Styela clava: one gene and its partners. The protein of the gene in region 1 purifies or fractionates together with the protein of each later gene. This does not show direct contact. Links are inferred from orthologs where the notes say so. Each region holds a gene or a part of one and is shown on either strand. Other genes may lie near its edges.

Region 1 (10,641 bases):
TGTTATTTCAGTATATTCAATAGAAAATATTGTCATAACTTCAAATGTAAAATGAATAACTATAAAACCACAGATTTATGTTTTGATTTGCAATTGTATTTGTGCAATTTGACATACAATGAAATCATATATTTTAGATTACTCCATTTTCTACAATTTATTCATCTATATAAATCATTTTTGCGCAATATTTTATTTTAAATAACTAGACTAAAATTCTTTTGAGAATTTGGAATTTTATGGTCAAGACTTCTAACCTTGTAAATAGAATATCAATCTCCATTAATTTACAATGCTCTAATCATATTTGTTGTTCAGTATGACCCAATTTTAACATAAACTCTGTATTCTATATTTGAAAAATGTTATTCCAGAATGTATTCAAAACTGTAATTTCTATTTTTAAAATTTGACACAATTCAGGATTCAAATTAAAATAAATATACCAATATTACCACATAAATTGGGCATTCTTGCTGTTAGTACGCTTGCCCCTTACTTACCTCAAAGCGGTTCTGAATCTGTTCGTGTATTTTGGAACCTTAGTGTTTGTTCTCTGGGTTTGGCAAAATACTAATCACTCTACAGTTTGAATCAATTGGTTTTATTTTTTTTATGTGACATAAGTACTGGTTATGTATGGCACAACTTTGAACAGGGTGTCCATAAAGTTTTGAGATATTTTAAAGGAAATTTATTGATTTGTAATTTTATTTTTAGAGTATCAGCTGAATTGAATGTTAAGTTGGGTGAAGAAGTCGGTTACTGCGTCAGATTTGAAGATTGTACAAATGAGAAAACAAGAATAAAATACATGACAGACGGTATATTCATTTTCAATTTTTATCTTCCCTGTTGAAACGTTGACTTTCCTGAAATGGTGCTTGAACTTTTGACTTTAATTTTTAAAATGATTTCCAAAATAAAAAATTTTTCAACTATTGCTTACACAGGAATGTTGCTGAGAGAGTCACTTGGAGACAGTTTGTTGTCAAGGTATTCATCCATTCTGTTAGATGAAGCTCATGAAAGAACTGTTCATACTGATGTGTTGTTTGGAATCGTAAAAGATGCACAGAAGTCTAGAAAAGAGAAAGGTTTGCCAGGGTAGGTTATTTTATGTTTTTACTAATTTTTGAATAATTTATGTCTCAACACTAATAAATTGCAAATATTTGCCAAAAATTCAGATATTTATTGTTTATATTATATTTTTGACCCCTGTTTATTTACAAGGGGGTTTAGTTTAGTTAAATTAATAATTTGTGACTACTGACTATCATTCTTTTATTTATCTTTCAATCAAGTATATTTCTGCATTATTTCTTGTAAATGGAAAAACTCAAATTTTCAAGATTTTGTTTCATTTATTTCATGGGAATGTTTTTATAATGAATTCTACATTTTGCAGCATTCCTGTAGTGTGTGTACCAGGTTAGGATTAGGCCATAATTTTATTCCAATTTTCCTAATTTTAGTTCTATTACGAGTCGGCGACTGTGTTAGCCAAGTGAATATACCATACCCCCTGCCCATAGGTTTCAGTCCCTTTATACAACTTCATGTAAAGTAGGTGAACAAAATTAGTTACCTTCATATCGGTACACACACTCTGGAGCGCCAATATTTTCAGTGAAGTTTGCTGAGCTAACCTCGGATCTTACTGGTAGTATAGCTGAGCCTTGCTTTCCTGCATTTCATTATATTATAGTATTTTATTTTCCTTATGTAAATACAGCCTCCGTATCATAATCATGTCTGCTACCATGGACGTAGATCATTTTTCAAAATATTTCAACAAATCACCTGTACTCTACCTCGAAGGACGGTTACATAAAATCGATATTTTATACACAGAAGAAAAACAATCGGACTACCTCGGAGCAACATTAGTTACTATATTTCAGGTGATAATTTTGCGTCATTGACTATTGGTAGACTCTTTTAAATTGCAAATGATAATTTGATCATTTATCTTTTGAGTGATCAAAGAATTGAAATCGCTGTATAGTCTGCAAAATCTGAACGGCATGTAGAAATCTGTAGAACCGCAAAGTATTCAGACCAATTTCCCTTTATCAATGGCAACATAGTCAGAGTCAGGGCTGTGCAGTTCTTACTGGAGATATACGATAAGTAAAAGCCGAAGTCATTATTACAGACTACTCGATATCTGGAGTTGGAGACCAGGGTCGTACTCGTAGCCAGGAATTTTCACATGGGATGGTTCTGAAATTCCAGTTGCCAAGTTAGATCGCATCATCTTAAAAATATGGTTTTTTAAGAGTCTTCAAGGGTCTAGAAAGCTACGAAAATTTGCAGAAAAGTTTTTTTTTTTTACATTTTAGAACTGTAACATTGGCCTTTCTATGAAATTTGATTAGGATGATTTGTAACATTTCTAATAACAGATCCATCAAGAATCAAATCCTCAAGAAGACATTCTGGTGTTTTTAACTGGACAAGAAGAAATTGAGTCGATGTGTCGAACAATAAAAGATTTATCGATTTCCCTTCCTTCAAACCTTCCAAAGTTACTCATCTATCCACTCTATGCATCCCTTCCCAAACACCAACAACTGAAAGCATTTCACGCGACGCCTCAAGGTGCAAGAAAAATTGTTCTTGCCACGAATATTGCTGAAACGTCTGTCACTATAAAAGCAAGTTATATTTACAATTTTTTTATTTTTCTTATCCTGAATTGATGATATAATGATTCAGAATTAGATATAATTAATTACTAATTGTAGTTTATTTGTAATATTATATTATTCGCCGATGCAACAACATAGAAGCCCTCCCATCAACCTAAATTATAGTGATGCTATCAGTTTTAAATTGGGAAACATTTGTAGCACCAATTGATTGACTTTTAGTGACTTTTATTAGTGATTTTAGTGACTTTTATTTTTTTAGTGAATCAAACTTTCTTTTTATATTTATTCATATTTGAAGGATATTTTTAAAATCTGTGTTAATTTATATTGATATTTCAATGTCAAACCTTTCAACAATAATCCTCTATATATATATATATATCCATCTCATATATTGTGGACTATAAATGGAACCGCCATGGTACAAATAAACTACAGTATAGAAGACAAACACAAAGGAAAGAAATTCTGGAAAGTCTGGAAAACCTCAAATGAGGTTTAAAACTATATGACATGAAAGTGAAAGTACTTCACAGGCAATCTCACTTGTCTAATATGTGTCAAACGTTCTCATATACTTTAAACAAATACCATTTTCTTCCAGGGTATCAAATATGTGATTGATACTGGAAGAGTGAAAGCAAAGTCTTTTCTTCCGTCAACGGGATTGGATATTCTTGCAGTTCAGAAAATATCCAAAGCACAAGCTTGGCAAAGGGCAGGTCGGGCTGGAAGGTAAATTATGAATTTGACTTTAGAAATAGTCGACTTTTCCTATAGTAATTGATTGTTTTTTGATATAACCTCTTCCATGGAGCAATAGTTCAAATGCAGTGTACTGCTGAAGTTTCTGGTAGCTTTGGGTTGGCTCCAGCTTCATCTGATATGGTAAGCTTCAGCAAAACATCACTGCTCCAAGCTCTGGATCCCCAGCCCTGCCTGTAATCCATACTGCTGAAATACTATCGAAAAAATTTCAAAAGTTGACAGATATATTAATGTGATTTGTATTTTTTGTAAACATGTATATATGAATACTCCATTGATTATATTTGGGGGTACTCCCATAATATGTGTACCAGGTTAGGGTTAGGCCATAGTTTTATTCCGATTTTCCTAATTTTAGTTCTTTTGCGAGTTCGATGACTGTCTCACACAACTTGATGTAAAGTAGACGAACCAAATTAGTTACCTCCATATTGGTGCACATACTTCTGGAGCACCTATTTGGGATGATAAGCAATAAAAAATCAGAACATCCGTCCTATTTTAGTTTTATATACAAATAATACAACATCCATTCATAACAGAGAATGTCCTGGGACAGTATATAGATTATATACAGAAGAAGAATACTCAGAAATGGATGAAATGACCAAACCAGAAATACTTCGTTGCAATTTATCGAGTGTGATTCTTCAACTTATGGCAATCGGAATTACAGATGTACAGACCTTTGATTTTATGGATCCTCCTCCAAAGGTTTGTCCTTCAAATTTTTAACTGTTATTCAGTAGAAGAAAGCAAGAACACCTAGAATTAAGTGCTTCATTAAAAGCTTGGCTGTTATCGCATCGTTTCAATTCTTTTGCAAAATTTTAGCTTTTATGGTTGGGAATTCCCATTTTCACTATTCAAAGATGAAAGTAGTTTCTGGAAGGCTATTTTAAATTTTTTCTCAAGTCTTATTTGGATCGATATTTCACTTGTTTTGAGTATATCCTGTTGAATTGTGTCACCTCCTCTGCCAATCATTCCTTCAAACTCTTTGCATGTAAAGCTCTTTTGAAACTGACCTACTAATTCTCTTTATGGTTTAACATCAGGAGTCTATTGAGGATGCTTTGAATCAACTTCAAATTTTGGGAGCAATCAGTAAAAAATGCGGATATCAACTCACCGATCTTGGATGGAAAATGTCTGTTTTTCCTCTGGATCCCAAATTATCAAGGATTATTTTAGCTTCAACAGCTGCGGATAGAAGGTAAAATAGATACTTTGATTTATTCAAGCATAATTTCATGCAAATGGTTAAATGCATTACATTTTTCTTATTGTTCATAGTGTTTCCCACATTTTTGAATTTTCTGTGCAACAAGTCGACTAAGAATTGTTTATTTCATATCATATTTAATAACAAATACTATACAATGTTAATTAGTTAAATTTAATTTTTTTCAGGTGTACTGAGGAGGCAATCAGTCTTGTTGCGCTACTTTCTGTTGACAGTATTCTATATGTTCCACATGGTAAACGAGAAGAAGCTCATGCGGCAAAACAAAAATTTGTCTCTAGCGAAGGCGATCATATCATGTTACTCAACATTTATAACTCATTCAAAAAATACAAAGGAGACGCTGGGTGGTGCTATGACAATTTTATTATCACTCGTAATTTAAATATGGCGGGAAACATAAGACGTCAGTTACGAGATCTGTGTGTTAAAGCCGGAATTAAAGATATTAATTCAAACAGGACAGACATGGCACAGCTACGAAAAAGCGTGGCATCTGGGATGTTTGTAAATGCCGCGGAACTACAACATGACGGGACTTATAAGGCGCTGTCCACTGGGCAAACAGTTCAAATCCATCCTTCGTCTTGTCTTTTTCGTTGCAAACCAGCTTACGTGATTTATAATGAATTAATTTATACTTCGAAATGTTATATCAGAGATTTATGTGTTATTGATCCAGAATGGTTGTTTGACGCGGCACCGGAGTATTTTCGTAGAAGATTAAAAATAGAATAGGGATGGCCAACTTTTCGCGTTATCTCAAAAATGCTGTGTCACACGCTCGTCCTTTATCTCCATGTTGCATGAGTTAGGATAGATATATATTATGGTGAAAATGGTTGAAGTTAAGTATGTGGAGTGAAATCATGATATGTTCAGGTATGATATGATACTTGGCGAAAGGTCAAAGCAGGGGTGTACAACCTTCAATACCTGAGGGCCTGATACAAATACCTGGGCTTCATCACGGGCCTCATAGGCTTTCTAGTAGTAAAAAGCATTGTAACATCATAGGCATAGATAATGAATTTGTGACGCAAAGGGATTAGAATTACCCACATGTACCAGATTAAAGTAAATTCATTGCGCGGTCTGCGCATTCAAAACTGCCAAGTGGGCAACATGTTGCACGCTCCCCCAATGTAAAGTATTCATTTGAAGTACGATACACAAAATGTGTACATTTTTGAGACACGCATCTTCTTTTATTAATATTTGCGCTCTTGTTTTGAGCTGTACTTGGATTGTGCTTAATGATAATCATATTTCTTGTTTTTCTATGTTTATTAAAGCCAAGTATGTTTGCAAAGGTACACTAACATTCGACATTGAAAAATATTGATCGAAACATGTATTGTATATAAATAATATTTTTGTTGGATTTGTACAGATTATGTATTTACTTCTTTTACTGATCGAAATAATGCCAATCAATTTTTTATTTTTACTTTTTAAAAAACTCACACACACTCAAATAATATGTCAAACCTTTCCTTAGATTTTTAAAATAATTTATAAATCTATTACATCATAATGGCACAAATAAACAAGAGCCCAGATCCGATTCAAGAAGATGATAATGGTTTGGATGAAGATGACTTCGATAATGTAGGTTTATGTCATAGTTTGATACAATATTTTTGGATTTATCCAATTTTTAGCACCGAAATTTTGGTTAGTACTTATAGCACACCAGTTGTGCTTTATTTATTATCAACTGAATTTCCTTTGTTGTCATTTTTTGTACTATGGTGAGGTCCAAAATAAATTGTCTATTTATCAAATGTATTTTATCTAAATTGTGACCATCTTGATTAGAAACAAATGAAAAAGAATCATAAGTTTATTGTTAGTCATGACCACAGAAATTTGAAATTTTTATTTTCTCTTTATTTTTTTATGAAGTACCTAGCAACACATCCAGCATTTATGGACAAGGATCCAACTCCAGAAATGATTGAAAATAGTCCTTTGCTTCAGGTATGATCAATCAATATTGATGTATTAACGTAATTATTGTTATATATAGGCGCTGTGTACCAATATGAAGGTAACTAATTTTGTTCGCTTAGTTTACATCAAGTTGTCAAGGGACTGAAACCTGTGGGCAGGGGCTATATTCACTTGGCTAACACAGACAGTTCCCGAACTCGTAATAGAACTAAAATAGGAAAATCGAAATAAAATTATGGCCTAACCTGGTAAACAAACTACTGGAGTACCGTTATATATACAGGATGACCTTAAAAAACAAAGCCCAAAGGTCTGTTATTTGTAATAAAATGAAGCAAATTTATTCAACACTTAGAACTGCTGTTTGTGTGTGATTGTACCCAAAAGTTTTAATAATCTATGACGCTTTGCACAAAAGTTATGCTACAAATGATACGAGTTTCGTTTTCAAAGTCCTTAAAATTTATGTCTAATCAATTCATTCAATTGAACTTGTGACTCGCAAGTTGTGACAACTGAGAAGGATAGAAAAAAAATTGGGCATTTTGATATATGTATAATCACTTACTATAAAGGTCTTATATCATTAATTACCGATGCAAACTGGTTAAGTAAATATTACCTGTTCTCGGCTGAACCTTGTCAAATTTGTTAGTTCAGAATAAATTGACTATCTTATATATAACTGCTTTTTCCAGTTGTTCATTGAGATATAACTAATGTTTTATTAATTTTTACCAGGGTTTACAGCAACTAAAATACGAAGATGATGATGACACTCCAGAAACTCAGGCTCTTGCTTATAAAGAAGATGGAAATTGGCATTTCAAGAAAAAATTATATGCCCAAGCAGTCAGGTGAGATGGACCATGAGGGCTGTGGTGGCGCAGTTTGGCATATTTTCATTTTGTTATACATGAATGTAACTCTGATTGAATTGAAGTCGAAATTTTTACGGAAACTCAAAAAAGTAGATCAAGTATTCTCAACAGTCAAAAGAGACTTAGAAACACTTGTTACATGAGAATAAATAAATTAAAAGTCAAGCAAGAGTAAAATGTTTGTAATATTATTATTCGAATTATCAAACTAGGCAACAATCTCATCCCTATAAAGTGCTGTCTCTTTGGCCCCCTGTATACACACCTGTTTAACACATATACATTTTACTTACTGAATACTTGCATAGACCATGCTAAAGATGATGTTATGTAGGATTCCCCATGAATTATCTTTTCTTCCAGGGCTTATACCGTGGCTTTAAGAAAGCAATGTTCTGATAACACTCTGAACTCTACTCTCTATTCTAATCGAGCTGCAGCAAATTATTACTTGAAGAACTATCGGTCATCAATTGCTGATTCAATCAAGTAGGTTATTGTTTTCAATCTCTAAACTGATCATACTATAGTAATGGCTCTGTGTCTAGGATTATGGCAGGATACTAATTTGATATTTAACTCGCGGCTTCATTGCAAAAATTGTGAATTCCATTGACAGTAGGAACTAACTTTGCAATCTTCTATGTGACCAACAGCCACATATATCTTCTTGCAAGCAAATTTATCACTGATGCAGTTTCAATTTACTCCCAGTTGGTACCCCTTGTTCCAACCTTTTTTTTTCAATTACAATCTCAAATTTTGTTTTTGACTTGATACTCATGAGAGTTGTTATTACAATTGGACACCAAATTTTTTGCAGAGCGTTAAATATTGAACCAACAAAAATCAAGTCACTTCTGAGAGGTGCTCTGTGTTGCGAAGCGCTGGAAAAACATGATGAGACTATTCGGTGGGCGAAAAAGATTGTTTCGATTGATGAAGACCACAAACAAGCTAAAGAATTGTTAGAAAGTGCACAAAAGAAATTTAAAATTGCTGAAAGGGATCGCAGAAAACGTGAAACGCAAGAAAGAATGAAACAGAAAAAAATGAAAGCCCTCATTGATGCGATAAAAAACCGCAAAATCAAGTTGGATTTGAGCGACTTAAAACCTGAAAAAAATGAACTGCTATCTGAGGAAGATTCGTTAACATTATCAAGCGTCGATACCAGCAATCCTTCACACGCAAAAGTTCATTTTGAAGACGAATCATTAGATTGTTTAGCGGAAAAAGGCAGGCTAATATGGCCTGTATTGTTTTGTTATCCAGAATACCAAGTTTCTGAAATTGTTGAACAATTTCACGAAGATGCAACATTTGATGATCATTTGGATATTATGTTTGATGACCCACCCCCCTGGGATACGCATAATTGTTATAAAGTCGGAAGCCTGGAAATTTATTATGAGAATAATGAAGGGAAATCGATTCGCAGGGTTTCTTCAAACTGCACTTTGGGTGATGTCTTGACTTCTGAAAATATAATAGTAAAAGCTGGTACTCCAGTGTTCATTATATTGTCAAAGACTTCCACATTTAAAGATGTATTTTTGTCAAAATATCGTACAAGATGAATTTTTATGAAGCTTCTTAGTTTTCTACTGCCCATGCATGCGGTGCTCCAGAAGTGTGTGTATCAATATGGTGGTAACTAATTTTGTTCGCCCACTTCACATCAAGTTGTGTAAAGGGACTGGAACCTATTGGCAGTGGATATATTCACTTGGCTAGCACAAACAGCCCCGAACTCGTAATAGAAATATAAAAAATGATAACAAAAATCGGGATAAAATTATGGCCTAACTTGGTACACATACTACAATAGTTAAGTGGTAGACCGCCAATGCTGCTTCGTCTCATAATATTGTTTGATTGATTTATCAATTTAAAAAAATATCACTGACATAAAATCATCTGAAATGTTTTGTGCAATAATGAAACACCTATTTGCCTAAAATTTGGGAAGATATTAATGTGAAAATAAGACATGCTCATGTTTTGGGACTTTGCTCGCAAGTGCTGCCTTATTATACTGTATGACAACTTAAGCTAAATAAATAAAACAAACCTTTTAACAAAAAGTTTCAAATTTATCCAAATCGTGGTGGAACTAAAAATATTTCTGCATATCTGTTTGTGGATTTGATTGGATGCGGCTAGATTGGTTACACTTGACCAGAGGCGGGCAAGCATTGAGTCCCAAATTTGTAGGTTCAATGAAAATTTAAATGACAATTCTGTCAGATTCATGTCGCTCACGCTGACATTTCTATTTGTACATGTACAAGAACGTTAAGATTTTTGTGGCCCACATTAAGAAAAACTGTGTCCTTGAACGGAAATTTTTACCGTAGGGTCCAAGATGATTTTTGAGCTAAAACACAGCACTGGGGATATAGCCTACAGTTTCAAATTCCACTCAAATATTTTGATGGTAAGTGTGTTGCCTACAGCTGCTGCGTTGAACGTTTTATATTATTTGCCGAGACATTAATGGTTAAACTTATTACAAAAAATTTATTGTGTAACATTGACAACAAACCATCGCGGTTATTTAGAAGTCCGAGATTGGAGATTTGCAAAAAGTTAATTCATATGTGCAACCAATAGTTGAGGGTCCAAGGTTGTCGGCTCCGCGGGCCACAATAGTGCCAAGAATAGGTAAACAGTGCAATACAAAACAAACACTTTTATTGTGCAAACATAGCTATCAGGCATAGCCATTCTAGGCTAATAGAATCTGCATTCAATATTTAGTTTTCTCTGATTTCTATATTGTTAGCAAATATTCCCGACCAGTTAGATAGCCGGATAACAATTAAGACTGCCAAGCACATCATTCAAATTGCAATTTCCCTAGCTGCCTTAACACTATTTAATTGAGTGGTATAGTGATGACAGTATGTCAAAAGATTTTTCTGAATAATTTATGACGAAATGCGATTTTTCGATTACTCTCCGAAAGTGACGCGGGCCACAGATAATGAAGCGGCAGGCCACATGTGGCCCGCGGGCCTGGGTTTGGACCACCCTGGTTTATAACATGAAACAGTACTCTGCATTTATTGTGCCAAGAAACACAAAAGCAGTATTCATGGATCTAGATTTGAATCGACCTCATAGA
Region 2 (10,083 bases), on another chromosome or scaffold:
GAAATTCTGTCAAAATTGCATGCTACTACTAGTTAAAATGAATTTCAATTCTTCAATTTAATTACTGATTTAGCAATCACCATAATTACTTTTCAGATACCATTGATCTTCGCACATAGGTCACACTTTTTTGAACCAAAAGCTATGCCAAAATCGGTGGTGCAACATATACACTCAACATAAATGCAAACACCAGTATTCTTGTGTAGGAGAGTCCAACAAATCGACCAAAAGAAGCAGTTCCATGAAGAATGCCAAAATTGTATAACAGTTTTAAAAATTATAAACTATAGGTACCTCCCATGTGTTTGCTGAACATTAATTTTGGTATATATCCCAATGCCTACCTTCAGTACAATATCAGATGCTTGTGGATGGAAAAATTCATTCAACAGCTTTTGTCCAAGATCACATGATGGTGATGGAAGATCGGAATCTAACAAAAGCTTCGACTGAAGGAGATTTGGTGAGAGTGAACCTGTCATCTCCGTGAGATTATCAGAAAAGCTGTAATGGAAAGGAATCCACTGAATGTCTTATGAATTCTGAACTGATATTTCCTGATGTCCATTGTATATAGTCAAATTTCGTGCTTTTTAATAAGATTGAATTTTGAAATCCTCAAGATAGTCATTTCAGTCATGAGCTGAGCTCATTTCCTAGTCTGAACTTGTACTAGAATTTTTGCACATGCCACATCAAATTGGAATGCTGATAATCTAAATTTTTACGCTATTCAGACAATCACAGTTTTAGATGGAAACTCGAGCCTTCTCGAACTAAGTGAGATGAAATTTTTATATACCTGAAGCCAGTGCTGGGGCTAGCAAACTGTTCAGCTCAAAGTGGAGATACGAATTCGCTGTAATAACTCTTTGGACATGAATTGTAACCTTAATTAGCTTTTAACACAAATGATTGGTTGCTCAACACACAAAGCACTCTAACCCAATTCATATGCTACCTACCTTTTTACATCTTTTTCTAACGTTCGAGCGAGGTTCTTAGATAATTTAGTTTTAGTCAAATCCATCTTCAAAGATCTGGTGATAACATTCCAATTTCAAACACAGAATGAAAAGTCAATCTATTTACAAAACATTAAAGAATATTTATTGCTCAAATCTTATGTTAACGTAAAATTAAATAAAGAAACTGAAGTTTTATATCACAAAAATTTCAAATTAAATCAGCACAAAAAAGAAGATCGGCGAGTTATCACAAAAGACCACAATCAACATTTATCAGTAACTAAAAAATATATTTCAACGAAATTATTGCCTGAATATAGACGATTCATCAAAATCTAGTAAGATTGAGCTTATTTTCAAAACAAGTTGCCTACCAAGTAAAGTTAAAATGATCGTAACCTAAAATGTTAATGTTAAGCTATTCTGGCAATCTAAAGGTTTAGATAAAAATTGTGAAAACTTCACAGCTAACAATCTGTAATTGAATTTACCACTTTTGCAGTTATTTTTACTACGATTCACAAACATTCTAGGTCATTTAGGAAACGTTACAAGCTTAGAAAACAGCTTACTATTTGATACAATTGACACAAACGGGGCCATGTGATGGAAATGTTCCTATTTGCATTTATCCTGTAATTATACAGATGCCTACAGAATGTTGCATGAAATGAATTTGTTATATCATCTCAATTATTGCTGTAAACACACAGATTTGAAAAAAAATCACACGTAGCAGGGAGAAGAGTGTAAAGTAACAATAACATGGGAATTTAAAGTTAATTTACATGAACCCATATCTCTGGTCATGTCGTGACCTTCTTTGGCGACCTTGAAAAGGCATCGTTGGAGCCCCAAACCCTTCAAAATCAGCGTCCATCATTCCACCACCCCTTCCAGGTCTGAAACCTCCACCAGGAAATATGGGGTCATATCGTGAACCAGGAAGAGGATTATCTGGATGCATTGGGTGATTGGGTCGTGATGGGGGTAAGCGTCTGGGTGGGGTTGCAAATGGTCCATAAGGAAAAGTTGGATGCAAGTCATGTTCACCACCTATCATTCCAAATGGTTGCTGATCAGGAAATGGAACAGGTTGACCAGGAATTGGGGTCGGAAATTGGGGCCAGGGGTCAGTTTGATAATCACGATAATAGCGCTCCATGTCTTGTTTACGTTCCTTTTCTCTAACGAAACGCTTAGAATATGTTTTTTTCCAAGAATTTTCAACACTAATGGGATGGGATTTGAAATCCTTTATATACAAGTTTCTCCATAGATTTTCATCATTGGTTATGTCCTGTAATGCTTTGTTTACTTGGGATAAAGATATCAAGCTTTTACAGTCTAGCTGTGAAAATATTAGTTGTAAAATTTCAGGAAATAACGACAAAAGTCCATGAACTGGTGGGAGTTGCAACTCTTCTCTCATGTTATTCAACGCAGGATGAGCGATCGTTTCTTTAACTTGTCGATTCAATTTTGATAAATTCTTGTAGACAGCGGCAGCATTAGAATTCTTAGTGGAGGCTGTGAAACTTTGAATATAGTCTTTCGTCGTTATTTGAAGAGTTAGGACTTGTTCGTTGGTATTGCGACACGGTTGCGCAACTCCATTAACAAGAACGAATGAACCAAGCTGATTGCAAGTGAAATTGAATTTCAAATCTGGGCCTGCTGCATGACTGTATTCTACTGCGAATATTCGAGATTGTAAATGGGGTAATATGTCACTATGCTCGGTCATTCCTTCAATATAAAATCCACTCTCACACATCATAAAATGCAAAGCGATACAAAGCGCTTGAAATTCATTTTTAATAAAATCATCTTCATAAAGTTTTTGCACTAAGTGTGGAACATCAGATGAACCATTACAGTCTCTGAAAAATATGGGACCAGGTGATGAACAAGGTATATATTCTGTAGTTTCTGTTTCAGTAACTGTTGATGGACCAGGTTGATCTTGCTCAAAGGTTTCTGAAGCCACGGACATTTCAGACATCACAGGAGTAACCGAGGATGTGTTTTCTTCCACAGAAGTTTGTGAAATTCCCATAACCAATGCATTATCACCAAGCAAGACCTTGATGAGATCCCCAGATACAATTCCTGCTGATTTTAAATTACTTTCTCCTTCTCCTGCACATGTTTTACCATCCAAACTAATGTGAAAACTAGCATCAATATTTATTCCCCATTCTCCAAACGCAGTTTCTCTTATTGCTGACTTCAAAGTTTCAAATGTAGGTTGCGGTTCATCTTCAATAGTTATTATTTTCGTCTTTTTCTCGAATCTTACTCTTAGCTTCATTGTTATTTCATGTTGTCAAAACTTATGTTTTTAACCTATATTTTACCTAATATCTATCTAAATTTAAACACAAGATACAGGGATCAAATTCAATATCAATTCAAAACAGGTCCAAGAAATGCAGAAATGTATGGGAACATATTCAATCACATAGAAAAGTGGCAGAAAACCAATATCAATGCAGAAATTGACAATCATTGTAAAATACAGTCGAAACAGTATATTAAATAGGCATGAAACTTAGAAGCAATGAACTAAATTGAGAATTTTTTTGATACGTAAATTATTAAATATTTCATGCACTATAAAATATAAATTCTAGGTTGTTGGGTGCATGAGACAGAAGCCAAATTAAATACAAACATGGAATTGATAATATGATATTTCTTATCCCGTAGCATATTTGAAAAGCGATACATTAAAAGATATATCACATTAAAAATCCAGTATACTCTATAAACAAACGTCCTAAAGAAGCAGATGAGTTGAAATGCTAAATTAAACATTTTGTCTGATTAAATCTGAATACAAGGCAACTTTACTAGCTGTGGACATATCAACATATTTCATATCTGTATATTTATCGCCAATATCAACAATAATGCCACCAAGAATTGTAGGATCAACTTTTGTCGTCAGCATCAATTTTTCATTCGGTTTCAAGAATTTGGTTAATGCTGCTTCCAGATTTTTTCGTTGCTTAACATCCATCTCTGTTGCCGTGGTAACTGTTGCTGGAACTTCTCCCCTTTCTGCACTCATGATTCGAGCGTATACTTCAGCAGTTTCTCCCACAAGATTGAGACGTCTGTTGTCAGCTAATACTCCGAAGAAATTGACAACAGTGGATGTCATTTTGACTTTACTAGCAACTTCTTTCAGGAGGCCTAACTTGTTTGATGTTTCAACAAATGGATCATGCATGTAATCAGCGACTTTCTGATTCTTCAAAATCTCCTGCAATGTGGTTAAATCCTGCGCGACCTCTGATTTTGCTTTAGCTTTGGAAGCAGCTGAATATAATGCGTGTGCGTAAGTTCCGGATATTCCAAACACAGGAATTGGCGTTTTCACCAAATCTTGGCGAAGAGCCGAAGACGTGCTGAGCCTTCTACAAACCAATTTCGTAATATTCGCAGCCATGTTTATAACTAAAACGAAACGAAACGGACCAACCAACAAGTGAAGAAAACGCGTCTACAAAGTTACAAGGTAGGTAGTACACACACCTCTGTGCAAGGTCGACCGATTGAATTTTACTTGCCAGAATTAATCTATAAAAATATACAATATGATTATAGAAACAAGTTATTTTGAATACTTAATATATAAAAAGATTATATTATGAATGTATTGCTTGAAACCAACAAAATTAATCAATTTCAACATAAGGAAACATTTTGTGCTTTCAATTTTTTTTGCTTTCACAGGTGAATCTGGCATGAGTATTTGACTGTTCTGATGATATCTCAACGTCGCCCACTGGCGATCAGGGTTCTGCAAATTTTATGACGCATAGAGGCAGTAGAGGTTCTACGTACAAATATTGTTGCCAGATTTAATAATGTTAAATCACTCAGTAACATTTATTATCGAAAAAATATGAGTAATTTCATGTGGACAGTATAAAAATGATTTGAGAACAAATTCAATATACATGTTAGTTTTGTTCTTTAAAATATAATTTGAAAAGTAACGAGGTGATGTCTTTGTTGTTTCAAATTACGAAAAGAAATGGCAAGTGACATTGCCGAAGAATTGCATTTTCCGGAATAGAATTCTTAACATTCTAATAATTTTCAAGTTCCTGTATAGTCTGACTTTCGTTTTATAGAAAGTTTAGATGATTGTTGACACATAGAAGCGCATTGTCGCTTACAGTACATCTATAACATGGAACCTCCGCCTGATTGTTCGTCTCATTACATCAAAAATGATGAATATTTTCCACCAATTACCCATTCATCGTCATCCAAGCGGAATGAAAATGGCAATGGATGTACAAACGGGGATTTCCTTGATATATCGGCGAAAACTGGACATTTTGGATTTACAAAAACGGATGTTTCCCAACCATCTACAAGCAAAACACTGGACAAAATAGAAGGAAATCCCTCTGTTAGGTTAGCTCATGCTTTTGATTCTGTAAATTACTGAATTGTGGAAAAACCGCCAGCTATTTTAATCTTTATTTTTTTTTAAGTGTGTGTTCTTGTGCTTGGATTAATTTTAAAGCATCGTATCCCCAAAGCAAGAAAAGACGTAGGGTGGCTTACCCACTTTGAGGCCACGACCTATTTGCGGCCATCAACTTCATCGATCTAATTAAGGCTGAAAAAATTAACGAACCGCGACGATATTTCTCATGCGGTATCGTCCACTTGTTCCTCATAGTTCTGCGAAATTACACTAAAATGCGGCCACAAACAAAAAAGTTACGATTGAAAACTCGACTGAAGAAAAATAAAGGACCTTTTTTCATGTCGCCAACTACCCATTGTCCCATTAAAATACTTGAAAATCCATACAAATAGGTCTATAAGAAATAAAAAGATGAAATTTGGCAAGGGGGTAGAGTTGTATTTCTTTTAACCATCTTTAAATTTTTGCGCTTCTACATTTAAAGGAGGGGGAATAGGAGGGTGCGATTTCCAATACGTCGATAATATCTTTGTTGACCAATTTGCAACCACCGTGTTTTTGTCTGTTTGATTGCTGTGATGCGGTGCTTTGTATATAATTTGACGAGTTTTGTTCGAAATGACCGTGTTCTTAAAATATATGACGGCCAGAAATGCAATTAGTAGTCCAATTTTTTCACGCATGGCTGCGTATGCTCTAGCATCGACGCAGCAGAAACAATGTTCATGGCTTGAAATCCGTGATCGCACACTGGTCGTTCGGTCGCAAATACATCTTCTGAGTGTCGTACCTTGGTAGTTTGTATAGCTTTAACCCCTGATCGTAGAAAGTTTATTCGAGGTTTAGCGTGTAGAATAAATGCCAATGCACCTACGGTTAAAAAAATTAACGGGTTAGCAGACTGGCTACACCACCCACCAAAACTCATAAACGAATTTTAAGGCGAGGTTGAATGAATATTACAAAATTTCATCGACTAAAAATACTAAACTCTCGAAGTAGTCTTAATTAATAATAACTTAACTTTGAAAGCTCCCTAATAATTGATCAAAGATCTCCAGGAAAGCACTGCACTAAGCTTTGCGGGAAATTATACAATTTACTACATTCTGCGTGGGGTGGAATTTAAACTCAAGATTATATTTAATCATCTACTCTGATATAGTCGGTTAACTCTAAATACAATGCATTATTTTTTTAAATGTAATGTCATAAGCAAGTTCATAAAATAATTCATAACATTTGCAGGTCATCAGCCATCATAGCATATTCAGCAACAAAAAACAATGCAATGTTCTCCCATCTCGCTCCAGAAACAAACTTGAATCTGGCACCTTCAAACTGGCTTCGAAAAACGGTCGGACTTCGCCCAGAGACTGTGTTGCCAGGTGGCAGATATTCAAGTAATCCAAATCGTTCGTTCAGTGGATTCAGTATGGCGAGTGGCCACCTTGATAGTGTCGGCAAAGTAGATGTTGTGTCAGATGCAGAGGTTTGTGTTATGTTCACATTATATATAATCGTTCTTGAAGTAAATAGAACTTTTTAAACCATATTATTATATAAATTATATCATTCTGTCTAAAATTAGTTTCATCTGCATCGACATATCAATTGCATTGCAATTCGAGTGCTACAATTGCTGGTTTTGTAACGAACTTTCACATACTCATCTTACAAACATTAAATTCAATAAGTTCTTTGAGTTCTGTATGTTTTATGTGAGTGAATAATTGTAACCTTGTTTTAATCAATCTTTCATGTGCAATGTTTCAAGCCCTTGTATGTGAATTTTTAGAATATAGAATATGTCACATAGCACAAATGTGAAACATGTCTTTTTGAACACCTTCAGTTCCTGATGCTCAACCCCGTCCTACTGTACTTGAGAAAGATACGAGTTTTTCTGAAAATATTAGCTCATGACATATTAGTGTCTATTTGTCCAGAACCCCGTTAGTAATGAAGGTATGAACCCTATCTTGAAAACTGCTGAGAATTATAACTAACTTGTATTTCTCTTTTTCAGAATATCAAGAAATTGCTGAAGATGCCGTATAACAAGGCCCATGTAAGCATGGCAATACACAGGATTGGTAGAACCTTGTTATTAGAAAACTTTGATATAAAAAGATTCACTGCTGAGGGTGAGACTTGTATGATTGTATATATAATAAAGTCTTGAAATTTTTTTAAAATAGCGAAGGGAATTTATCGAACCCATATGTCGTTTTGGCCCTCACAGATGTATTAATAAATGAGGTAAAAATACTCAAACAATTATTGATTAAATAACAACGAACCTGGTTAGTAAGATATATTGGGAACTGACTTCATAACAAAATGGAAATTGTAAAGGGACTTTACGGACCTTTATATAGTAGTAAATAGTGAATACCTCATATTCAACAAGTATTGTTTTAATCTGCAATTGAATGTGATCATCTAAAGTTTGACATCTTATTTTGAATGTAATGTATCAATTGTTTCTTACCAGCAAAGCATAATACGAGAATATCGGTCTGAGACCGAAGACTTATGAATTGAAAGTTAGGGGATCCCCCAAAACAGCACTCTTACTCCATAATGACACCTTGTGTCCCATCACTAATTATTAATAACTCGCTAATTATACGACATAATTCATCCAAAATCAATAGGCTTCTGGTACGACATATGATGAATGCACATGCAAAATCTGGAGCAGATTCAATCTCCCTTTCGCGTGCATCTAACAGACAAACAGACAGACAAACACCTATCAACATACTTACCGATTAAAATCGACAAGTAATAATCCAGGAGTGTGCAAGTGCAATACAAGAGAGCTAGTTATAAATAACTTGGTGAAACTGCGGGCGGCACCTTTATTTAGGATGAGTGTCATTCAAAATTGGCACCTCTTAGCAGGCTGTATAATTTTTTTCTTGAGGGCCTCATTTTTCCTGCGGGTCGCAGGTTGCACATCCCTGTTATAATCCATGCTTTTATTGTTACATTAAATATAATATATAGTTCATTCTAGCCATCATTATTATGTCTTGTGACTTGTGAGAGTAAAAGGAAGTTGTTTCTGCATTTTCTTATCTGCTATTATGCATCAATATTTCAATTTATGGTCAATTTCCAATTTAAATTTTATTGACTTTCCTATATTGAAGTATTTGTCTACTTGAGTTTGCAAGTGATTATTTAATATGTAAGAATTAGATAAGATAATTTATTTTGAACTTTACCATGGTACAAACATTTGATGACACAGAATGGAAATTCAAGAAATTCGCCAAACTTCGAATGAGACTTGAAAATATGAATGCATTTAAGTCAAAGAATTGAACAAATCAAAGTCGGTTTACTTTAAATTAATGTGGTCGTCTTGAATACTATGTTGTGATTTGTGAAGGCTTTTGCTTGTGCCTCCCAGAAAACCGCTTCATAGCACCAAAAGGAGACTGGGGTCAAGTTTGAGAAATCCACCATTGTACCAAACATGAGACATTCATTAAAATAACCAATATCTATTCAGATTCCGACCTTGTCTTTCAATATTTCCTTTTAATTTTCCAGAATCAGAATGGGAATGGTTTCGTAACTTTTATCAAGAATTAGTTCAACAGCAACAAGGAAGCAATACTTTGTTTAAGAAAAAAAGTCCGTCCTCACAATATGAAAGACTAATGCTGTCAAAATTTCTTTACTATAGGTAGGCTACCACATTTTTATGGTTTTTGTTTGAAATACTCTGTCTGTGGTTCTCAAAACTTTTTTAAGTAGCGACCCTTTTTTAGATTTTGTCAAGTCTCGTGCCCCACCTCATAAAATAGCAAGCTAACAATATGATACAAATAACAGATAGTAAAGCAAAAGTATGTTTTTTTCAAAAAACACGTTGCAAATATGTGGATGGAATCGCAATCTCTGAACATTAAAGAAAAGTAAATAGGCCTATCCAAAATAAGGCAGGCAAGATCAAATTTAACAAATATTTTTATTTTTAGTCAGCTTCACGCTCCCCAAAAAATTTTCTATGCCAACTTTTATGTGTATTTTATTAATCTTTTATATTGAGAAAGAATTGTTTTATTTTTTACTGTTCTGAGTAATATGCATATAATTTTCAAAGAATAGCATCTCCAAAGGGTACTTTGTGCTTTTGTTCTGAAATAAGAAATTTTTATCATTTTGTTTTATGCATGATATACATTTAGCAATGAGTCCATATTTGAAAAAGTTTAATTTGTAGAGAGGTCGTACAATATTATACTCTTTCATATGTGATGCAGTAAAATTGGGATACTTGATTTGTTTTCACACTTTCATTCTGAATAGGTCTCTGTACAAGCAGCCATGATACATAAAAAGACCACTAAATGTGACTAAAGACCAACTATTAAAATACCACACGGATTATCTACATATTGACAAAAACTTCACACAATTTAAAAAATGATCTTACACTACCTTACTATTCCAGCATTTACAAAGATTCTTTGAATAAAATTGAAGACAAAACTCAAGAAAATGAGGAGTTTTCTCCAACTGAGAAAGATTATAGTGATGATAAAGAGAATAAAGAAAGGTAATATACTTCCTTGCTGACTGCAGCTATGCATATCCTTTTGTCATTTTTTTCTATTATGAACTAAATTGATACCA
Region 3 (10,590 bases), on another chromosome or scaffold:
AAAAAGTTTTATATTGCGAGAGATACCGAAGGCCAGCTAGGATGTCGTGTTTGCGACGGACAGCGGGCGCCTTTTCTGCTACAATTCGCGACAAGGCACTTGTGCGAGCGAGGATATTTGGCACTGAAGGTTATCAAAACTAAGCTCGCAATGGCCTCGATACGCGTGACAACTTGCGTATTGCGTTAAGTAAAATAGAGCTGTGTATTGGAGATATAATGAAAAGGAAATTTCAGTTACATCAATCTCACTGAGTCAATGGACTGTTTCTAATAAATAGTTGTCTGTATTTGAGTCAAACTGTACTAACACTAAAAACACATTTTGCGTTATTTAGGATTGGGTCGCGAGTATTCCTAAAACTCAAGATTTGGGTCGCGCTCGAGAAAGTTTAAGAACCACTGGCCTAGAGGAACATTAATTTGTCACAGGCCTCCTACAACAAACTTACATTGTTTGTGGTTTGTAATTTTTGTAATGTTTGTAATTTTTAGTCTTTGACATTGCCACTTTTCAATCATAAATTTGTGTCACAGATTCACTCTTTTATCTGTCTTTAGCATTTCGCTGCCGATGAATATATAATAATTCTCACCTGATTCACAATTCTCTGTGAGTACTACAATATGTACCGGCACCTAATCATCATCGTTGTCATGGCACAAATTTGTGATTTAGAGAGATTTACCATGAGAGGTTTTTATGGCCTGAATAACAGCGATTTTAGCAAAATGCAATTATACGCGATATTGCCGACTTTCTCAGTTTTCCAAAAATTTCAACAACCCTTGAATGGACTTGATGGTGGAGGAAACCGTAACTGACTAGCAGTTACATGAACCACTCCACTCTACGGTGGCGAAGAGCCCGGCAATCCTCTTGCACATTATTATCTATTATAATTTTTTTATTGATATCCTGTCAGTGTCACAATTGATTTTTCATATTGTGTTCAATTTGCTTGTTTCAGTTACGGCGACAATGGGAGAGCCAAGTTCTATGGACAAGATATTCAAGTCGAACCCGTCAGCACAGTTGTGAACTTTTCTTCAAGATGGACAAGTCCGCTTTTCAGTGTTGATAGGCAATTTTCGATGAGCTTGATTAATCTGGATAAACTGGAAGGTCTTAGAAAAATCAATTTCAAAATGGATGTCGATGGCAGCAATGAATACATAATTGAAGAAAATTATTTTTTTCTTGACTGGAAATTTCGCTTCCAAAAAACTGAGATTAATGCTACCGGAGAGGGAAGTGTTGGACAAAAGTTTGATGTGAGCATGGGGGATGACAAATTAACACAGAGAACTTATGCTGAGATTTCCGCAGACTTAAAAAATCTTACAGCCACTTTAGGTAGGAACATGATGACTACAGGTATCTCAACACAGATGAGATCTGTCGCACAGAGTCTTGATTATGAAGTTCAGGGCCACCAAGGTGGAGGTCATCCTCCATATTCTGCTAGATCTGTCCCACCGAGACCCCGTAATAATGGAGTTTGGGGCCAACAAAGTGATCAGCCTTCTAATTCTGCTATATCTGTGGCACCGAGACCCCGTGATTATGGTGGCCAACAACATGATGATCTGCCTTCAAATTCTGCTCAATATGCGACTATGATGCCCCATGGTTATGGAATTTGTGCCCAACGAAATGACGATCATACTGCATATTCTGCTAGATCTTTGCCACAGATGCCCCATGATTATGGAAATGGTGGCCATCAGCCTGCATATTCTGCTCAATCTTGGGCACCGAGGCCCCATGATTATGAAATTCGTGCCCAACGAGGTGATGATCGTCATTCATATTCTGCTCAATCTGTGACACTGATACCTCATGATTATGGAGTTAGTGGCCAACAACATGACGATAACCCTGCATATTTTGCACAATCTGGGGAACAAATGCCTAATGATTATATTTGGAACCGACAAGGTAGTGATCAGCCGTCAAATTCTGCTCGATCTGTTGCACATGATTACTCACCGGATGCAAAGCTTCTTCATGAGCCACCTGACCCGGAATCAGTTAACCAGGAAGCGCAAAAGTCATGCTCGCTCAATACGCTTCTCAGTGGTTTTGAAGAATTCGGAGAAGCTCAGTCTCTTTGGCCGGACGTAAATCCACTTCATGAGTTGCTTAACTCGGAATCAATGAAAAAATTGCCTCCCAGTGGGTCTGTCGCAACGGGCAGAGATCTGTCTATTTTACCAAATGGAAAGCTACTTCAAGAGTCACCCGCTGCTAAATCAGTGAAGATGGAAGTGCAACAATCAGACTTGGTTGAAACGCTTCCCAGTAGTTCTGACGAATTGAGCGAAGTTCTGTGTATTTCACCAGATGCAAATCCACTTCATGAGCCACCCAACGCTGAATCAGTGAACGTGGAAGAGCAAAAGTTAGACTCACTCAATACGTTTTACAGTGGGTCTGTTGAATGGGACGAAGATCTGTCTATTTCTCCAGATGAAAATGAGCCGCCTGCTCAAAAGTTTGCTGCGCAATCAGTGAACATGGAAGTACAAAATGCAAACCAGTTCAGTACACTTCCCAGTGGGTCTGAAGAATTACACAGAAATTAGTAAAATCACCAGACTCAAAGCTTTCAGAATAAAATTTTATCAGTGGTGAAATCTGAGTAAATCATCAAAGCAATTTCAAATTATAACTTGAATTAACCTATCTTTTGATGCTTTTGCAGTTCAACTCGTAAAAATGTTAGACCTAACTATGTTTATTATATGTATGTCAAACACTGAATGACCGGCACAATTTCTAATTTATATATATACAAATGTAGCTGATGCAACATGCTCCCACTTGTTGTTTATATCATGGGTTCTCAAAGTGCTTTGTACGAAGCCCCAGGGCTCCGCTAGAGTAACCTGGGGGCGCCTTGCGCTATTCGATTACTTGTCAAAATTTGACAACAGTCCAAATATGACAACGGGGTGGTAATACAAATACAACATTGGGTTCAAAATTGGATATTCTAGGGCACCATTATCTCGGTTGACAACGAGTTTCCATCCATGACCGATTCGTGCATTTAAAATGTCTTGTCATAATAATTTAATTGTGTTCATCATTTCTTGCCTTTGAATCGACATTACCATTATTGAAATGAAAAAATATTTTTACTATTCTAAAAAAATAAAGTGCTAAATTGCCAACTATAGATTGAAATTGTATTTTTGCAATTCTAAAATTTATCAAATTTGAGTTGTTCTTTCAGCGGTGCTGCTGTAGTATGTGCACCAAGATGACGCACAACCTGAACATAGTATGTGCACCAGGTTAGGTTGTTGACGAAAAAATAAATCTCTCTCTCTCTCCCTCTGTTTGCCATCTTAGTGCACATACTTGTGGAGCGCCCTTTCAGCGGCATTAAAATCTCAATGAGTACAATTTACAATTATGCAATCCTTGACCGATGTCTTCATATTCGAATGCCTTGTTTATTGGCTTTAATGTAACCTGTGGATACGTTGACTTATGTTAAAATTACCACGGCAATCCGCGGACAACAAATGAGAAACAACAAAGTCAAGTAAACGGAAGTTTGACATGTGCTTTGTCCGCAATAACAAATTGATTATTAATCTTTGCAATTATCTTATATATCGCCACATATCGAGAAAACGTCGCATGTGGCTCCGTCGGTAGTTTCAGAATGGATAAAAAGGTATATCTGGCACACAATTGACTGTGTTTCGATTTCAGTAACTACGGTATAACATCCATGAATAACCTAACATAACACCAAAGTTTGTGATTTACAATGTCTAGAAAGGCGTTTTTTATCTGTCGCGAGTCTGCTAAAACAAAACTTATCATGTTATCTTTCGTTTTAGTTTTATTATTCTTAACTGACGTTTTCAATTAAAATATTTGGTATATAAAATTTATCTGTGAAAGTTAGATTCAAAAGTTTTAGCATTTAAATAAAATAAAGTTATTTTAACTTACTCAGGAATATCAATCAGTAACTAACAATGTGTTTTTTGTTTTATTTATTTTTTCGAAATTTATTTGTAGTGCTCTGTAAAGAATAGTCAACTTCTTTGTGGGCTCCGTAACATTGAATGTTTGAGAACCCCTAGTTTATATAACCAATTTTGGGTGAAATTGAATGATTTTAAGCCTTTTGTGTATACTATTAAAAAATTTAGTCAAAGAACTAATCTTTCTCTAATACAATGGTTCTCTTACTTTTTAAAATTTGTCAAGTCTCGAGCCCCACCTCAACTAGCTAACAATTAGCTACAAATAACAGATAGTAAGGCAAAAGCCTGTTTTATCCGAAAGAACAATTGAAAATATGTGGATAAAAAGTATATAATAAAATAAATTAAATATCCAAAATGAGGTGAGTAAGATCAAATTTAACAAATATTTTAATTGAATTCACGTTCCCTAAAAAAATTGCCTGCGCACTCCAGTCCATATTGGGCATGGGATTAGCTAGCCCTAATTAATTTTAATTATGATTACCGGTACTGTTATTGATTAAAAGTATTTAAAATAATTTGGACGTTATTTGGCTTGTTGTGGCTTCTATTTGATGAGTGAAGCAGGTCTAGCCCACCTCTTCATACATCCAACTTGGCAATTCTGATTTGGCATTAGGTGACTCCAATTATAATCAGCTTGACAATATCTTTTGAAGAATACTTCTCTATCCACAGTATATTACTCTTGTTGACTAATTTGGTATCCAATTTGGCAATCCTCATAAAATTTTTGATTTAGTGTGGCAAAAGAATTTAGGCCTATTCATTTTTTTTCATTTGTTTGTACATTTTCCTTTTTACTGAGTAATTTAATTGATTTTAAGTCTCGCTTTTTTCACTTCCGACAGTATCATGTCTCGATGATTGTGTGTGTGTGTGCGTGCCTTAATTAGTTTTTTTTTTTACTTTTGGGTGAGCGAACACGTACTACTTCTTTTATCAATACCTTTCCATCTAAAATTTGTTCGTTTCAAACCTTACTCGAGGTTTTGTTTGCTCTCCCGATTCTATAATCAGGTACTTTTAATTTTGTTTTTATCTATTCTTTTATCGTATATTGCTGATTATGTGATCGAAATAAACTTAAACTTTTATAAACTTTTCAAATTAAACTTTAAATTTGTTTTCAGATGTATGCGCTTGATGTCAACTTTATCTGAAAATTGTTCACTTTTGTTATGTAATATTCATGTCAGGATTGTATAACCAACATTGCATTTTTGCTTTTAATCAAATTGTATCTATTCAGTTCACTTAGATTATGCATTTGTGTTACAGTTTTGATTGAAGAAAATATATAATTGTTCAATTTTAATAGAGGAGGCGAGTTTACATATTTATCCTGGGTGAGTGGTAAGGCGATAATATTTTGGGAACCACGTTTTCTCGTCCGATTGCCACTCCAAGTCTAGTATGGGATTAGTCAGCCAGTTGTTTCAGATGCATGGACTCGATGTTGGAGTAAGCCGTAATCAACAAGTGGTTTGGTGATTTACCGGCGGTGTAGTGCATCATGCTAAGCGTTAGGGCCGCTCACCACCGCGCATCTGAATACCCTCGGTGGGTTGGCAGGTTCAAATTCGATGTGAGAGGGATAATTATTTGCAAGAATGCATGCTGGAATGCACGGACTTGGTGAGACACAAAGCGGCATTGAATGCCACGCCACAGTTTACTTATAGATGCCATCGTAAACCGCACGCATCCTCATTCCTCGGTGACGAAGATGGCTGAGACAAAAGTTGCCCAAGAACTTGTTCAGTTCTTGCGGATTTCTACAAAGCCAGAGCTAAAGATAGCAGCGCTGCAGAATGTTGTCGGTCTGACTAATGATGCGAATGGAATTGCTTTCATTTTGAAGTATAAAGATGTTTTTGAGGTAGGTTTGTCACCGGGATACATGTTCACTAAGCGACGTAAGTACTTCTATTAGGCGTGGCACAGCCATTTTTGCATATGTTATTTGTAACTCCCACTTGGCTACGTCATCCAAAAATTACGTCACTACGACCTCACAATCACGTCAAATAGCTTGCCAAAGTATAGCTACGATCGCCCGAAATGGCATCTTCACCAACGATAACGAACTCACTAACGCCAGCGATCTCTCTCGTATCGTGATCGTTACGATGAGAAAACGAGAGAGATAGTATGCTCGATTTCGGGTGATCGTCTGCGCGTCTTGGATGATAGTTTGTAGGGCCTTTTTACGTTACTGTGACGAATGACGTAGTCAGATTGTGATTAAGAATAACATATGCACAAATGGTTGTGCCATGCCAATTAGAAGATACTTACATTGTGTTGTGAACATGGCCCGTCACCGGTATGGTACGGTACCGGTACAATAACGGTCTATATAAGATTTAGGCGCATATTTCAGTACCGGTACTGGTATTAATTTATTTATATTATATTTATATCTACCGGAGCGCTTCTAGGTGGAATTTAATTCCATGTCTTAAGGGTTGACAGCAGTATGCCCAACATAATTATAGTGTTTTTCCTGATAATTGCTTTTATGAGTGTCCGCACACCGAATTTGCGCCATGGTTTTGCGTTTGTTTGTATATTAAACCACTTATCACCTTTTCCGCAATGCCCAATCTAGCAATCAATGTAGTTTTTCATGGCTTGGTTTTTCTTGGTGCTTTCATGGCTCCTTGAGTATGACTATCGTCGCAAATTTATTACATTCCACTCCTCACATTATCTTCAGAATTCTCCATTTTTAATTTATGTTTGTTATGGAGTTTTCGAAATAAACTATCTATCTATCTATAAACTGGTAACTGGATGAGAGGCCATGGTTCGCCATATGTTTGAGCTGTGTTATCGGCTTTCCGCTCCCCCCGGATAAATATGAAATCTTATCGTTATCTTATCTCATATTGCTGTATAAACCTTCGACTAATTCAAACTCAATGACCAAACTTCCATTTATTTCAGGCTCTGCTTTCATTGCTGAAGGACAAAGTTAAAGAAGTTTCAGACAATGCTTACAAGGCAGTGATAAATTTATCAGCAGATGACAGTGCATTGAAGCAAATCATCAATGATTATGACATCATAACAGATCTTATAAAAACAATATGTGACCCAAAATCATTCCATGCTGACGAAGCTTGCAAAATTTTAAATAATTTAACAAGGACGGAAAAAGGAGCGTTGGAATTTTTGAAAAAATGCCAAAAGAAAATAGATAATGATAAAAATGATGATTTTTCTGATTCAAAATTGAAAGAACTTATAGACATTTTTTGTAAAACCAAATTTAATGAAAAGGGATCTACGTTGGATCATATTGGAACCATTTTAACGAATGTCACGCAGACAGTAAAAGGTACTTTTTCTCAAGATAATTTTCATACTTCAATTATTACATGGATTCAATAATTTGTTGCTTTTATTTCTTCAAAACTATTTTGGGTAAGCCATTATAATTTATCTCTGTTCTGAAATATTGTTGAGATCTGTGTTCAAAATTTCCGCTTTCAAATATTATTCTCTGTGGATTAGACTGTTAGAATGTTTCAAGTTTTTAAAAAAAATTTGGAAAATCAAAATTTGTGAATAAACAGTTAAAATTTCATTTTACAGGCAGGAAACTCTTACTGGACCATGAATCTCCTTTGATTGGACAATTACTTCCATTTCTCAATCCTGATTCGTCCCCCTTACTGAGGAGGCGGGGCATTTCTATGACCATCAAGAATTGCTGTTTTGATCATGGCAAGTATCACTGAATCTTTTTTTATTTTAAACGATAATGGCTATATTAGATTTGTTTAAAAATCTTCAGTTATTCCTCGTATCACAGTTTTGTCCACTCTTTAGTTCATGTTGAACAAACTGGTCATCTATTGCGATGATAATTGGTGTTCGGACAAGAGTTTTTGTATGCCATATTATTAAGTCACAAAAGATTCCAACAAGTTGTAATTTTGCAATTCAGAACATCATGAATGGCTTCTCGGAGAAGAAGTTGGAATACTGGAACATTTACTGTTACCACTAGCTGGGGGTGAAGAGTTTTCTGAGGACGAAAATGAGTCACTCCCCCTCGATTTACAATATTTACCTGAAGATAAAAAGAGAGAACCCGATTCCAGTATAAGGATAATACTTCTGGAAAGCTTATTACTTGTAAGTAATGTATTTCTCAGTGTATAATACACACTTTAAAAAATAAGGAAAATTGGAATAAAATTATGGCCTAACCCTAACCTGGTACACATACTAGGTTTCGGTGTCAGCCATCTTTGTTTGGATACTTCGGGGGCACAGAAAATTACGGGTTTCGGGCAGAAGCTTCAGTCATTCACTACCCAGTGAATTAAAAGTGATAAGACTGGCACTCTATGTTAACTTCTGTTGTTGTCTAAGTCACAAAATGTGATTTTGTTCAGTTTAAACTGTAAAGAAATAGTTTTGTGTAAGTGTGTAGCAAGTCTTTTGAGTCACTTATAATACTCGATATTACTCGGAATTTATTTTCCAGCTCTGTGCAGACAAGCCAGGCAGAATGATCCTGAAAAACTCCGGGACTTATTATATTATCAGAGAATTGCACCAGTGGGAAATTGAGAATGGCCCAGAGGAGAACGGAGAACAATGTGAAAAACTAGTGCAGGTAGGTTTTTGACATGACATTTTTCATATCTCCAGTCATTTTTACTTCTGGTAGGATCCAAGTTTTTGACTAGTGGTATTACATGATCCGCAATTTTCCAAAAACCTGATGTCCGTCCGCGCTTCTATAACAAGACCTATTTTTTTATTAAGTTATTCCATTTTCATCAGATATCTTAGAGCCCTGTTTAATATTGAAAAGCCAATAACTAGAAGCAAAAGAATAAATGCATTAGAGTAAAAAAATTCGACAAGTTACGGTCAGTATTCATTGCAAACGGTACCAGGTGAAGGCCTTTTCTCATGGCCCTCAGAGGACCACCCTGTGAACCCATACAGCAAGGGTGGGCAGGATTTTGGATTGGGGCACACAAAAAGGCGGATTTAGCCCTTGGGCCGTAAAGGGATGGAAGCCCAGTTTCAGAAGCCCTGCACAACGGCTATGCTATACTTAGTTGGGCTGAACAGATCAGTGCTGCTAAGTGATACAGTTACTGTCTACAACATGCCCTATATTATTAAATACCTTATAATTTCCTCATTATATGATAAAGCAGTAAAATATAATGCTCAGATATAAGGAACAATTGTCCCAAAGATATATATATATATAGTATATCTTCGGCCATGTCATATGATTTTGATAATCAGAGTCTTATGGCTCTAGTTTTTGAAAGAATATGTCTTGGTCATTCCCGGTTTATGATGAAATGTAGTTTTTATAATAATTGCGAGCCTACTGACGTAGTTATCCTGAATTTTCAAAATTTGGGAATCCCCTTTTAAATTTATTCTTTTGCTTACCCCAACTTTCACCCCTCCCCAATCCAACTTCCACTCTGTCCCCAATTTTATGCTTTGCATTATGTATAAGAGTTGTAGCATTAGTGACGAAACCTCAATTATACTTTTATCTTGAATGTAGCTCTATTGCGCTACCTAGTGTAAGATTAAAATAGTTTTCAATCAGAAATGCTCCCTTGTGCAGTAAAGCATAAAAATCTTTTCCCTAACATGCCAATGATGATAACAACGCTCTAACTTTTTTTGCTATACGAATCTGAGGCATCTTATAGCAGAAAAATAATACACACATAAATGGCTCCCACTCGCCTTTCAAACAGCGAATAGCAAACTATACTTTTGGTCGTTGAATTCTAATTATGCCACATTATTTCAGATACTGATAGCTGATGAACCAGAACCAGGGATGGAAAATTTATGGGAGATTCCAAATGAGAAGTTAAAACTTGATACATAATGGAGATCATACTGTTGGGCATCATTAAACGAACACATATTCACTGTTATAGACATTATATCAGTGCTGGCAAGGATCGGACCCCTGACTCGGGCTTGAAGTGGACTTGAGACACTTTTTATTCACAAGTGCTTGAAGTGACTCAAGTTATCTAGGTGGAATAACCTAGAATTCTGCTAAATTTGTACAAAGCCGACCCTACAAATCGTGACATGTCGTACGCACCTGTCACAGTAAATGGTTGCAGGAGAGAATTAATGCGATTTAGTGTTATCTGCGTAAAGGAATAATTTTTAATGCGAGTATAAGCCAACTAACTCCTTATTAATTTGACAATTTTTTTTTTTGAGTTTCAAAATCAGCTCATATGCGAGGATAGATGAAGACAGAGGGCATGAGCTCAGAAAATAGGTGCTTTGACCATCAAAACACTCCAAAGTCATTCTTTTAATCCTTACTCTTGTAAAAAAAATGTTTTTTTGAACCCAATGGGTATTTTATAAAATCAAAGTATCTCTCAGTTACTGCCTTATCCAGAGTGAAAGATGCATAAGAGAGTTAAAAAAAATCATGACAAAAATGTTTTCCAATTGTATTTTTGTTCTTATTATTCATTTTAATAATCATTGAGTAATTCCTATTGCAGTGATATAGACTGTCTTTGAAACGTAGTAACTA

What was found.
Region 2: the proteins of tetratricopeptide repeat protein 4-like (region 1) and erythroid differentiation-related factor 1-like purify together in Homo sapiens (affinity purification with mass spectrometry; 3 studies listed by BioGRID and IntAct, counting the BioPlex papers as one, with this or other methods). This does not show direct contact. The link is inferred for Styela clava from reciprocal best matches to the Homo sapiens genes TTC4 and EDRF1.
Region 3: the proteins of tetratricopeptide repeat protein 4-like (region 1) and protein HGH1 homolog purify together in Homo sapiens (co-immunoprecipitation; 4 studies listed by BioGRID and IntAct, counting the BioPlex papers as one, with this or other methods). This does not show direct contact. The link is inferred for Styela clava from reciprocal best matches to the Homo sapiens genes TTC4 and HGH1.

What each region holds. Positions count from the first base shown.
Region 1 is NC_135262.1:5,476,315-5,486,955, forward strand, and holds tetratricopeptide repeat protein 4-like, read left to right. Parts: upstream 1-6,147; 5' UTR 6,148-6,210; coding exon 6,211-6,285; intron 6,286-6,582; coding exon 6,583-6,657; intron 6,658-7,371; coding exon 7,372-7,487; intron 7,488-7,874; coding exon 7,875-8,000; intron 8,001-8,334; coding exon 8,335-9,091; 3' UTR 9,092-10,058; downstream 10,059-10,641. Other genes in the region: ATP-dependent RNA helicase DHX33-like, read left to right, coding at 721-824, 954-1,107, 1,739-1,907, 2,412-2,663, 3,265-3,395, 3,971-4,142, 4,487-4,644, 4,842-5,412.
Region 2 is NC_135258.1:7,334,850-7,344,932, forward strand, and holds the start of erythroid differentiation-related factor 1-like, read left to right. Parts: upstream 1-5,012; 5' UTR 5,013-5,178; coding exon 5,179-5,408; intron 5,409-6,675; coding exon 6,676-6,919; intron 6,920-7,456; coding exon 7,457-7,574; intron 7,575-8,994; coding exon 8,995-9,130; intron 9,131-9,901; coding exon 9,902-10,006; intron 10,007-10,083. Other genes in the region: BTB/POZ domain-containing protein 8-like, read right to left, coding at 348-507, 969-1,033; F-box only protein 7-like, read right to left, coding at 1,756-3,285; ATP synthase subunit O, mitochondrial-like, read right to left, coding at 3,784-4,428. UniProt on the Homo sapiens protein: Transcription factor involved in erythroid differentiation. Involved in transcriptional activation of the globin gene.
Region 3 is NC_135250.1:1,700,060-1,710,649, reverse strand, and holds the start of protein HGH1 homolog, read left to right. Parts: upstream 1-5,624; 5' UTR 5,625-5,676; coding exon 5,677-5,898; intron 5,899-6,968; coding exon 6,969-7,362; intron 7,363-7,619; coding exon 7,620-7,751; intron 7,752-7,974; coding exon 7,975-8,165; intron 8,166-8,520; coding exon 8,521-8,652; intron 8,653-9,831; coding exon 9,832-9,912; 3' UTR 9,913-10,590. Other genes in the region: uncharacterized protein LOC120337162, read left to right, coding at 971-2,588.